3 linked regions of the Drosophila melanogaster genome follow. Changing the gene in region 2 together with the main gene of any one other region gives a genetic interaction. Each region holds a gene or a part of one and is shown on either strand. Other genes may lie near its edges.

Region 1 (3,600 bases), on a different chromosome or scaffold from region 2:
CAGCAGCATTTTCTCGACATCGGCGGACGCATTTTCCTCGATATTCCTGATCCAGTTTTTGATGTTCTCGAAGGACTTTTCTTGGGTTATGTCATATACCAGCATGATGCCCATGGCACCTCTGTAATAGGCCGTGGTGATTGTGCGAAAACGCTCCTGGCCGGCAGTGTCCCTGGAAAATGAATGGAGATATAGGTAATTAGAGAATACAGATGAATCGCCTAGTACTTACCATATCTGCAGCTTAATCTTCTTGTTATCTAATTCAATTGTTCTAATTTTAAAATCGATACCTGAAAAGAGAAAACAGATGAGCATATACACACATGTACGTTTGCTAATTAATTTAAATAATTTGGCAAGAGGCTAAACCTGTTTGGTCGGAACCCATGACATCGCAGCTAAAATAAGAGACGAAGAGAACCGAAATCCACAAACCACGCAATTAATTTAAACAATGTCGTTAAGTAAATGCCCCAAAATTGGAAGTGTCGCGATGAAAACGTGCCAAAAACGAAAATAAACAATTATTAGCCACGAGCAGAAATGGGAATCGCTCTACTTTTGTGTTTACAAGTACGGGAAAGTACAGTGTGCATGTCGAATATTATTGTGATTATTATTTTAATAAGCTTAAAATTACTAGCATAATCTGATTTAACTGCCACTTGAAGTTGTACTGATTATGATTCGAATTTATTAAAAAGTATTTGCTGTGTTTGGTAGAAAGGCTTCACTGTACTCGTACGGGAACAACTACTTGAATTCCCTCTGAGACTGGGCATGGGCCTGCTGGGTATATAATAGGGCATTCCCGATTTGGCGTGCGACGGTCAAGTCTCGCATCGGAACAATCCGGCTTCTGGGGCGATAAGAGCAGCGAAAGTACAAAGACTATGGGTACTCGGACTGAGTACTCATTTCTGATCGCTTTCCTATGCGGGTGTGAATCTCAGGGCGAGATAAGGCATCCGGATATATTCCTTACGGGAAAATCTTAATAAGCGCGAGAAATCAAACATGGTGGGAGTGCCCCTCCCATGGAAACAACAATATTTATGACAAATGCGCCCGGATGGGGCAGGAAATAAAAAAGAAAAGAGGCATTTAATGAGTCACTGGGCCAGAAGCTCGGATTTCCAATTGCGAATGAGTTCATGCGAACGAAGGTGTTATAATTAATAACCAAAAAAAAAAAAAAATTAAGAATCGGAAGACACGGTAAACGCGGATGATGACACTCACCTATTGTGGATATAAACGTTGTGTTGAAGGCGTCCTCAGAGAATCGGAAGAGGATGCAGGTCTTGCCCACTCCGGAGTCACCGATCAGGAGCAGTTTGAACAGATAGTCGTAGGTTTTGGCCATTTTGTGTGCTTTTGCGGTAGGATCACAGTATCTGGCCCGATAATAGTGCTTAGCTGGGGGTTAGGGTACGGGTTAAGGGTGATGATGCTCTGTACACGTCGTCGTCTCCTTAATCAACTGACTGACTTCCTCTCCGATTCTTGGCTAATAACACTAATCACGATTATGCCCCATGCGTGCCGTTTAGCGTATGTATGTACATATACACTATACCCAGACGTAACCGCACTAATCCACAATCTAATTGAATCGACTCGAATCGAAAACGTATAGTTTTTTCCTTCTCTCCGCAGCGCAGCTCTTTTTCTCTTGGGTGTGTGTGTTGTGTTTTCGATTTCGGAGCCGTGTCAAAAATGGCGACGTAGATTTAAGACCTTTTTGTTGTCTGTGCCCGAGTTTCGGATTTCGTGCGGCGGCTTTTCCGGTGGGCAAATGCAAAGGCGCTCGCTACGCGGTGCGAGTCTACGTTGGTTTGTTGTGAAAATTACGTGGAAATGAAGTTAATTACTGCTTTCTAATTACGCCCGTACAAAAAATATGAGTTTCGATAATTCGTTGCTGCGCAACACTGGCGCGCCGTCGTCTATCGATAGCTTATCGTACGATGGGGAAAACAGCTGTTTCCAGTTAGTGTTGGAAAGTGCGCGAATATAGAAAGAAACAGAGGAAAATAGCACAAGACAAGAGTCAAAAAGACAGGTGTATATTATATATTCATACACATATATCGTCGTGATCCTGCACCTGATCCTCGCCAGCAGCCTATTGTTCCGCCCGCGACTGTGAAGTGAAGTTGAACAAATGTGAAAAGTGGCGTCGCCAGACGCAGCAGCAGGCGGAGCCCCAGAATCCATTGAGTTGCACCCCCGCAAACAAGAAATTCTGGACCATGGGCACCAAGGAGTCCAAGCACTCCAATAGCGTCAGCTACGAGGATTCGGTGAAACGCGGTGAGTCTCCTCCGGCTGGTTACTTGTGGGGCCGTCTCCCAGCCGCAGAAAATAGGTCACTGCCAATCAAGAAAACAGAACCCCCTGCGAAAGCAACAACAACGTACAAGCAGGTGCAATCGATTCCATTGTGTTGTTGCGCCCACGTCTTCTGACCAACGGGAATCACCACTGACTTCCGCCACCACCATCCTCATGCTCCTCTTAATCCTATCTCTTGCAATTATCTACTGCCATTCCAGTGTGGCTTCTTTATTGCATGTGTTTTCATGTGCATGGGTATTTGCGTCTCCGCCGCCAATGACGTCACAATAGAAAAGCTAACCGAATGGGGTGGCAGTTGGAGGTGTGCGCTGTGTGGGTGAGAGACAACAAAGCAGCGAAGGCACATGAGAAACAGTTAGACAGCCAGTGGAGTGCAGTTCACGCTTAGGGTGACTGGAATGCGCGGATGCGGATGTCGCTGCGAATACGATTCATTTCAAGTTCAGCATGTCATTCCAGTGTTCATTTCAATTCGCACTCTATGGGCAAAGGTCTTCTGTTGAAGTATTTTATAAAGAAGCCTACTTTAAAATTTTTTTGTTTATAATGAAATGAAATTATAATGAAAGGGGAGCATTTTGGATTTCGATTTTCCAATTGGAATATCCATAAGAAAAATGTTTTAAAATAAATAATTCATTGGGCTTTTAATTCTGCATGTCATTTCCTTATTTCTTAAAATTCCTCTTTAAGTGGAATATGTTCAGATAGGAAAAGGAATTACTGTGTTTAAAACAAGCTGATAAGCCAAAAAAATAGAAATTTATTTACAAAGTATGAAAATCGGAATGTTCACTCTTCTCCAAATATTTTATAATAATGAACCAGCAATAAAATTGGTAATCATTCAGAAGAGTTAAGATTATTTAAGCCAACTTGTATACCCATTTTCGGCCCACTTTCAATGACGTTTAGCTTCCCTTAGTGCTTTTCACTTACTTTATTCCGCCTTCCCTTTGCGCTGGCAATCATCTAAATGCTGGTGTTGTTATGGTTATGGTTGCTGATTTGTGGCCAGGCGGCCCAGCCAGAGTTAAGAAAACGAGTGTCGCTGATAAGGCTCACTCCCCCGGAACACCAGCACTCCGGACCACCCCTCCACCACCCACCATCACTGGTGTGGGGCGTGCGACCGGGTGCGTGTGTTTCTTATTAGCCACTCCAACCGGTTCCAGTAAAACCAAGGGGGAAGTGAGGACTAGCATGCAAGTATGTGCGCGGTGGTCAATAATCGCA
Region 2 (3,835 bases):
AGCAGACTTAATGGAGCTCCTCCTCCCAGCAAAGCATTTAGTGAGTGGCGTTTCTCCTTTGCTCCCTTGTCACGGAAACGAACAGACGCCGATCCGGAAGCTACTACATGTTGGGGGGTATTCGGCAGTGAGATTTGGTGATTCGGACTGCAGTTATTCGAGCTGGATGTGGAGCTTGAATTGCTGCTGCCCGGCGTGGAATTGGAGGATCCCGAACTGGATTCCGTGACCACCGTGGGATCAATAACTGGAACCGGAGGAAGGGCCCGCTGCCCCTGTTGCTTCGGTGGATGGCAGAATGGATGGGTGTGTAGCCCGCTGTCCAACAGCTTTTTGGCCGCTGCATTCAGCTCAACGAATGCTATTGGAAAGATTCCGATGGTCTGGCCAATTCGTCCTTCTGCCCAATTATGATCAACTCGGCGCATTACCTGTATTACAGTGCTTTTCTTAAATTCGAGGCATCCCTCCTCGTCGTTGGGCCCCATCTTAAAGTCATACATGGCAATGCACTGCGGCATGGGCAGCGGAACCGATACCTTGACGTAGTTGATGGGAAATGTGCCCTCCTGACCATTCGCTTGACCCACAAACCAGTTGTTGTCGATGCGATGCTTGATCAGTATCAGATCCCCTTTCTTGAACTTTAGATCGGTGGCTTCACCGGAGGCGAAGTCAAAGAGGGCATAGGCGTGGGGGAGTAGAAATCGACGTTGCTTGTGACGAGCCGGCTGATGAGATTGCTGATGTGACTGCAGCTGGAGTAGTTGGTTGTCAGGCGGGGCCACTGATTCCGCTGGCGGCTGAGGTTTGGCCCTTTCCGGCTGTGTTTCAGTCTCCTCTCCCTTTTCTTCTCCTTTGCCAGCTGCTGCATTTTGTTTCATGCCTGTGAGAATTAAAGAAAGGGTGTTTAAAGGTAGGTAAAGACCAGGTAAACGCCATATTCAATTGCCAAAGCCACTTTGCCGCACTCATAAAGTCAACCATTCTTTGATTTTGAGCGTAGGCTGTTGTGCTGTGCCAGTTTAGGTTGGTGTGGGCGTTAGCTGTTACCTTCTAAGATTCGCATCAGCAAGACGTTTGGAGGCAGCTCATCAATTTTGCAAGAGACCAGGATGCGGCACTCCGGGCATCGCAACTTGTGCTGACTGGCCACAATGTCCTGGCATAGAATGATGAAATCATTCGGTTATATGATATATATGTAGCAAACCCACAACAATTACTCACCTGCAAGCATTTGCGGCAGAAGGTGTGCTGGCATGGCAGCACCTTCGATGTGGTGTCCAGTCGCTCAAGACACACGGAGCACTCCAACAGGTCGTTTAACGTGTGCTCGTCCATCTTGCCAGTATGCAAAATCTCAAGGATGGTCACTATTTGAATTTCGTGCAGGGCCACATTCCAAAACACACACACATGCAGGTACTGGCTCACGCATACGCAATCCCAAGACGCGGTTGGGAAATAAATTTAGCTCAAATGCTAAAATCTACTATTATAATCGCTACTTGTCGTTCTTAATGCACTAAATCAGATTATATTATCGTTGCAATAGGCAGGATTCAATGTTTAATTTATTAAGTTTGCCAAGTGCAGCCAAAGCTCGTGGCCAAGCGGATACAAATGTACATAGGCACACGGATATAAAACCAGCTTGATACTTGAACACAGTGATGGTCATAAGTATATGCCCAATAGGAATAGTAGTTCCATAACATTTAACCAAAAAGAAAGAAGCTAAGAGAGTACTACATGTTTTTTAAATTCACTAAATTTGCAAAAAATTATTTAAATACCACATGTGCCCCGGTTATAGTTGCATTTAATAAATGCAAATAATTGTTAAGTTGTACCCAAACTGGTGTTTATTACTGTTGGGATTTTAGTGTGGCCAGTCCTCGTAGTCGATATTTTCTGAAGCGCATTTTAGTGTTGGATACTAAGTCCAGACAGTGCTGAAAAACGCACGATCCCTTTGTTTTTTTATTTCATATAAAAACACGTGTGGTTTGGTTTGATCGTGTTCAAATATACGATTTGATTTATAAACAAGGCACACGACATTCTTGAGACACCATGCCAAAGGTACGCAGCACCCCGGGTAAGCCCCGGACGCAGGGATTCAACCACTCAAACCACTCCATGAATCCGGAGCGCCCCAAAAGCGGTCTCAAGGGAGTCGCCCACCCCCGCACTAAGGGCACCATCAAGCGGCTTCAGATGTACCGTAACTTCAAGGCCAAGCGCGATCGCACTGGAAAGATCCTCACGCCCGCCCCCTTCCAGGTGAGATTTAGCTTTACAACATGTATCTTCGATAATTCTTATCTTTGGATTCATAAGATTTACCATCACTTATAGACATAGGAAGGATTTATTGCAACATGAATATCCAATAACCATTGTTTAGTTTTCAAAATTATCATCTACTTCACAAAGGTGCAATTAAAACGATCGACTCAAAATTAAAAGCATTAAAAGATAAAAAGATTTCATAAGTATATTTTGTTACGACTTATTATCCGTATAATAATTTAATTACAAATCTTATGTTTTCATTCTTGTTGTAAATATATAAAAGAAAAAATTAAATACAAGAGAGAAAATGCCGAATATGTTTTCCACAACCCATTTAATAATTCATACTAATCCTGGAAATGTGCTTTATTTTAGGGGCGCCTGCCTGCTGGAACAATGGCTCGAGTTGAGCCTACGCCCAAGTGGTTTAGCAATTCCCGCGTTATCTCGCAAACTGCTTTGCAAAAGTTCCAGGATGAGATTGGCAAGGCTGTCAAGGATCCCTACCAGGTGATCATGAAGCCATCCCAGTTACCGGTAACTTTACTGAACGAGGCAGCAAAATACAAAAGGGTTCATTTGCTGGACACCGAGAGCTTCGACAGTACCTTTGGGCCCAAAAAGCAGCGCAAGCGCGTCAGCCTAAAGGTTCGCGATCTGGAAGATTTAAGCAAGGCGGCCGATGACCAGGCCGATAAGTACGATTCAGCTAAGGATTTAGATCTAATCCGCGAGGATACTGGCGAAAAGAAGGCCGTCCGTGATTGGGTGTTCGGTGCGGGGCAGAGTAAACGCATCTGGAACGAGTTGCACAAGGTGGTCGATGCGTCCGATGTGCTGCTTCAGGTTCTTGATGCCCGCGATCCCATGGGCACGCGCTCGAAGTACATTGAGGAGTTCTTGCGCAAGGAAAAACCGCACAAACATCTATTTTTCATTCTGAACAAGGTTGATCTGGTACCGGTGTGGGTAACGCAGCGTTGGGTGGCTATTCTTAGTGCCGAATATCCTACTATTGCCTTCCATGCCTCCCTACAACATCCTTTTGGAAAAGGTAAGTTTATAAAGTAAAAATATCAATTATTTGTCATAAAAATCAATTATTTTTATAGGTGCGCTCATCAATCTATTCCGTCAGTTGGGCAAACTGCATTTGGACAAAAAACAGATCAGCGTGGGCTTCATTGGGTATCCCAACGTGGGTAAATCTTCTGTTATTAATGCGCTACGATCAAAAAAGGTTTGCAAGGTAGCACCAATTGCGGGGGAGACGAAAGTATGGCAGTATATAACGCTAATGAAACGCATCTTCTTGATCGATTGTCCTGGCGTGGTGTATCCCACCGCGGAGACTGACACCGAGAAAGTGTTGAAGGGTGTGGTGCGGGTGGAGCTCGTCACAAATCCTGAAGATTACGTAGACTCTCTGCTGAAACGCGTGCGTCCGGAGTACATTTCAAAGAACTACAAAATTGAACACTGGAACACATCCACGCACTTTTTAGAACAGTTGGCTCAAAAGACCGGCAAGTTG
Region 3 (3,835 bases), 1.7 Mb from region 2:
ATCGCAGGGGGTTGCGGACCGGCGCACCGGCGACGAGCCGAAGAACATCATAATCGGAACCAGAACAATCCAGCAGCATTTGCCAACCCAAAATAATAATGATAACTTCATACACAGCTCTAAACTAGAACTAATTTAACCGCAAAGGGAACGCATCTTCTACCAATACAAATAAACATTTATTCAAGTCAATGACAAATGTCTTTCTTATCAAAAATCTTGGGATAATCCAATCAAATCAGCTGCGGTTGCCTTTCCGTGCTGCAATACAAATGCATTTCATATTATTTTTTAATCAGGAAAATATGCAAATATAAAAACGCTTTATCATTCTCTTGATAGACTTGAAGTGGTCTACTTGACAAATTTGATTTTATTTTATATAAGTATATAAAGTGTACAAGCATCTTATTTGCATATATATTCGATTTGGAAACAGGATTTTTTTTAATTCTTTGTGCACAATTAATCCAAATTATTTTTCATTTTCTATACCACTTCCAAAATCACCTAGATACGCTTCAGTTTTTGCAGACCAAGCTCATAATCTTGTCAATAACTTCATATCGCTCCTTTTCATACTTCTTGATATGCTTTATCCAGTGTCCGCGCACTTTCTTCCAGCGGTTCATATTGGAGGACAGAAGATCGGAGGTACTGGCACCTTGGAGAGCCTTTTCCCGCTTCTTGTCCTCCTGGCTGAACTCCAGACGAGGCGGAATTATGGGCAGATCCGTGGACTTGGCCTGCGGGAGCTGGTTGATCACCTTTATCTCGCCGCTTTTAATTTGGGACAGGATTTCTTCGCCGTTGTCCTCACGTTTGGTGGCCGTGAGTGAAGCATCTGTTTGAAATGCACCCACAGCTGGATTCTTGGGTTGATTTGCCATCCATGCGCGGCATATGGGGTACAAAGGAGTCTTATCCTGGTATTTGGACAGGTCCAAACTTCGCTCAAACAGGCGCATTACGTAGGTCTCGCCGGGCGCCTTCTGGGCGACTGCCGCTGCTCCAACGCTCTTCTTGTAGAGCACTCTCCTGGCCTTGATGCGTCCTCCGGCGCCGGCTGCGGCTGCACTCGAGGATGTCGAAGGCTTCTCGCTAGAGCCCGACGTGACCGTCTTGACTTTCGGATCTAGCTTTACCTGGTACTGACGCTGCTGTTGCTGCTGGATGAGCAGCTTCTTCGAGGGACGGCCCCGAATGGGCAAATCCGACTCTGCGTCGTCGTCCGGCGGCAGGTTTGTCGTCTCTGGTTTCTGCTCCTCACGGCGCGACTCCCGCAAGCGCAGGGCCGTTTCCTTCTTTTTCGGCACAGTCTTCATTTCCAGAAATCTTGTATTCGACACGAAAATTAAGGGAAAACAATTTCGAATGCCGAATCGGAAATCAAACGGACTTACGGCGCTTCACAACACTGAAACACCACTTCGCCACGCAACACTACATAAGTCAGTGGTATTTCAAAAAATACCATAAATTAAAGAAAACAAACGGTCTTGGCGCCTAACGCTAGCTTGAGAAATAATTCTTTGAATTATTTGTAGCTTAAATGAAAAGAAAAAAGAATAACATATATATTTTTAAACAAAAACTTAATACACATTAATATTTGACTATTCAAAAATATTTAATAGACTTTGATTGTTAAATTAATACTTTTGTAGATTAAAAAAAAAAAAACAAGGAAATGAAAGTCTTAAAAATTTGGTATTTCTCGATTTGGTAATTTTAACCCAAAACCTTTCGGGCTTTTCAACCCACCTTTTATGGTCACACTGCTGTTTTGTGATCGCGAAAAGAGCGACGTGAAAAATACATTTAATTAAGTTTACTGCGAAAAATAAAATAAATAACTAAATTAAAACAAAGCGGAGCTTTTGCGTGAACTGTGTGTGTAGTTGTGAGTGTGTGAGAAAAGAAAAACGAAAACAAAGCCAACGAGGAAATCGAAGGGGCAAAAGTGGAAAAGATTCAGATTGAAAAGCACCAAAATATCGAAATCACAATTTGAATGTCAAAGAACAAACGACAAAAAGAGCGGAGCAACAAAGGAACATTGGAAAAGTCAAGAATTTAACTTATTCGGTAAGGATGCAAATTGTAAATCTGTGGATTTTGCTTCTTCTGCTCACGCACACATCCACATACAATTGGGAAGTGCACAGGTGTGGGTGGATCTGCTCTGTGTGCAAATAACAAATTGTGAAAAACAACTCGCACACATGCAGATCACCTAGTGCACCAAATAAAAGCAATAAATAAACACATTTCCAAACGGGCAACAAGTTGTGAATGCGTTTTTTAAGGGGGAGGGGCCATACCAAGTTTCCCAACGTTTCACATTTTCAATCGATCTCGGTTGTTTTTATATATGTATGGATATTTTTTATCTACTATTGCGTAGCTGCCAATGTCACCTGTTTTTTGCTCTCTCTCTCTCTCTCTCTTGCGCTCTCTCCCTCCCTCTCGCTCGCACCCACGCTGGCTGTAGCTGGTTTTTATCTTGTGCCGTTAACACAGCCATTACGTGTCTCTTTCGCACTCGCACTGCACATTGGTGTTCGTGTGTCTGTGCAAGACTGCACGTAACTGTATTACCCATTCGTACATGCGTATACGTATTTCCGCCTATTGATAACGGCTGAAACTCCCTCGAAATGGCCGTCTTTTCGAAATATGTAAACGAATCGTTCGGGTACATCCCCCGACCACCACCCACCCACCGCCCACTCAACCCCCTCCAAGCGCTTCTAATCGCAAAGTGCAAATATTGATTTGCTATGTGTGCTTTTAGATTTTCTCCCACTATCAATAACAATAAGCGCTCTCTGTACGTTGTTTTTGCTTCGGTTTGGTTTCGTATTAAGAAAACAAGTTCACAAGTTTTTGCACTTGTTATGCACTGTAAGAAAAACGCAAGTTTTATTCAAGAGCTCCGCATTACCGCATTATATTGCCAATTGTGAAACTTTTATAATATTTATACTAGCAGCTTAGTTTTGTAACTTTCGGAAATAAAAAGTTTTGGTAAAACAAACAAGAAACATTTTATTTATTTTTTTAAGTGTTGATCATTGTTGCTGTTTCGTTTTGTGACTTTGTTTATGTGGCGGTTTTCTTGTAATTGCGGGAATTTCCCGGCATTTCAGCAGTTGAGAGTGCAAATATAAAGCAGAGAGAGAAACCCTCATCTGTTTGTGATTATCTGAATTCTTCTTCCGTATTTAAGCGTTAACTCTGCTTTTGAGCGACAAGGCTGTTAAATATTTTCAGCTATAACACCAAAATTACCCTTTATCTCGCAATATATTAATAAATACAAGTCTCCAAAAGACGTCATAAATTAAAACGCGATTTAAATGACGTTTAAAGCGACTTCTAATTTATGTATGTTTATCACGAACTAAAAATTTAATTACTTTATAAATTTTAAATTCTCAAGATAGTGAGCAACTATGTATGTTTTAAAGAAAAAATTGTTGGAGTTCCACAAAATTTCGTTTGAAAAATTGAGTTTTTATGTACCAAATATGCAAATCAAATGAAACTTAAAAGCTGACTTAGAAATCCTTTTGTTTATATGGGTGAAACTAAATAAATCCTTTTGTTTATGTAAATCACGTTCGATTGTGTGCTTATTCCACGCATTAATAACTGCCTTACTCCATGCACAGAGTACAGCTTTTTTGAATGTCATGCTGATATGACAGAGCTGAAACGCTCTTCTGACATAATAGATTAATACGTATAGACTCATTTTCATAACGTTGGTCCTTCTATTCAAATACTGTATCAGCAAAACTTAAGAATCTTACATCTAAGTGTTTAACCT

Evidence for each region.
Region 1: of POSH (region 2) and Rab8, changing one suppresses a phenotype caused by changing the other (phenotypic suppression), as found in Drosophila melanogaster (one study listed by BioGRID).
Region 3: of POSH (region 2) and Tab2, changing one suppresses a phenotype caused by changing the other (phenotypic suppression), as found in Drosophila melanogaster (one study listed by BioGRID).

The regions. Positions count from the first base shown.
Region 1 is NT_037436.4:19,869,136-19,872,735, forward strand, and holds the start of Rab8 (Rab8), read right to left. Parts: upstream 1,944-3,600; 5' UTR 1,370-1,943; coding exon 1,246-1,369; intron 424-1,245; exon of another isoform or gene 392-423; coding exon of another isoform or gene 373-391; intron 294-372; coding exon 233-293; intron 173-232; coding exon 1-172. Other genes in the region: Usp32 (ubiquitin specific protease 32), read left to right, coding at 2,259-2,319.
Region 2 is NT_033778.4:17,566,573-17,570,407, reverse strand, and holds the start of POSH (plenty of SH3s), read right to left. Parts: upstream 1,677-3,835; 5' UTR 1,345-1,676; coding exon 1,231-1,344; intron 1,163-1,230; coding exon 1,054-1,162; intron 887-1,053; coding exon 1-886. Other genes in the region: Ns2 (nucleostemin 2), read left to right, coding at 2,080-2,289, 2,677-3,355, 3,414-3,835.
Region 3 is NT_033778.4:19,290,773-19,294,607, forward strand, and holds the start of Tab2 (TAK1-associated binding protein 2), read left to right. Parts: upstream 1-1,756; 5' UTR 1,757-2,088; intron 2,089-3,835. Other genes in the region: mip40 (Myb-interacting protein 40), read right to left, coding at 522-1,325.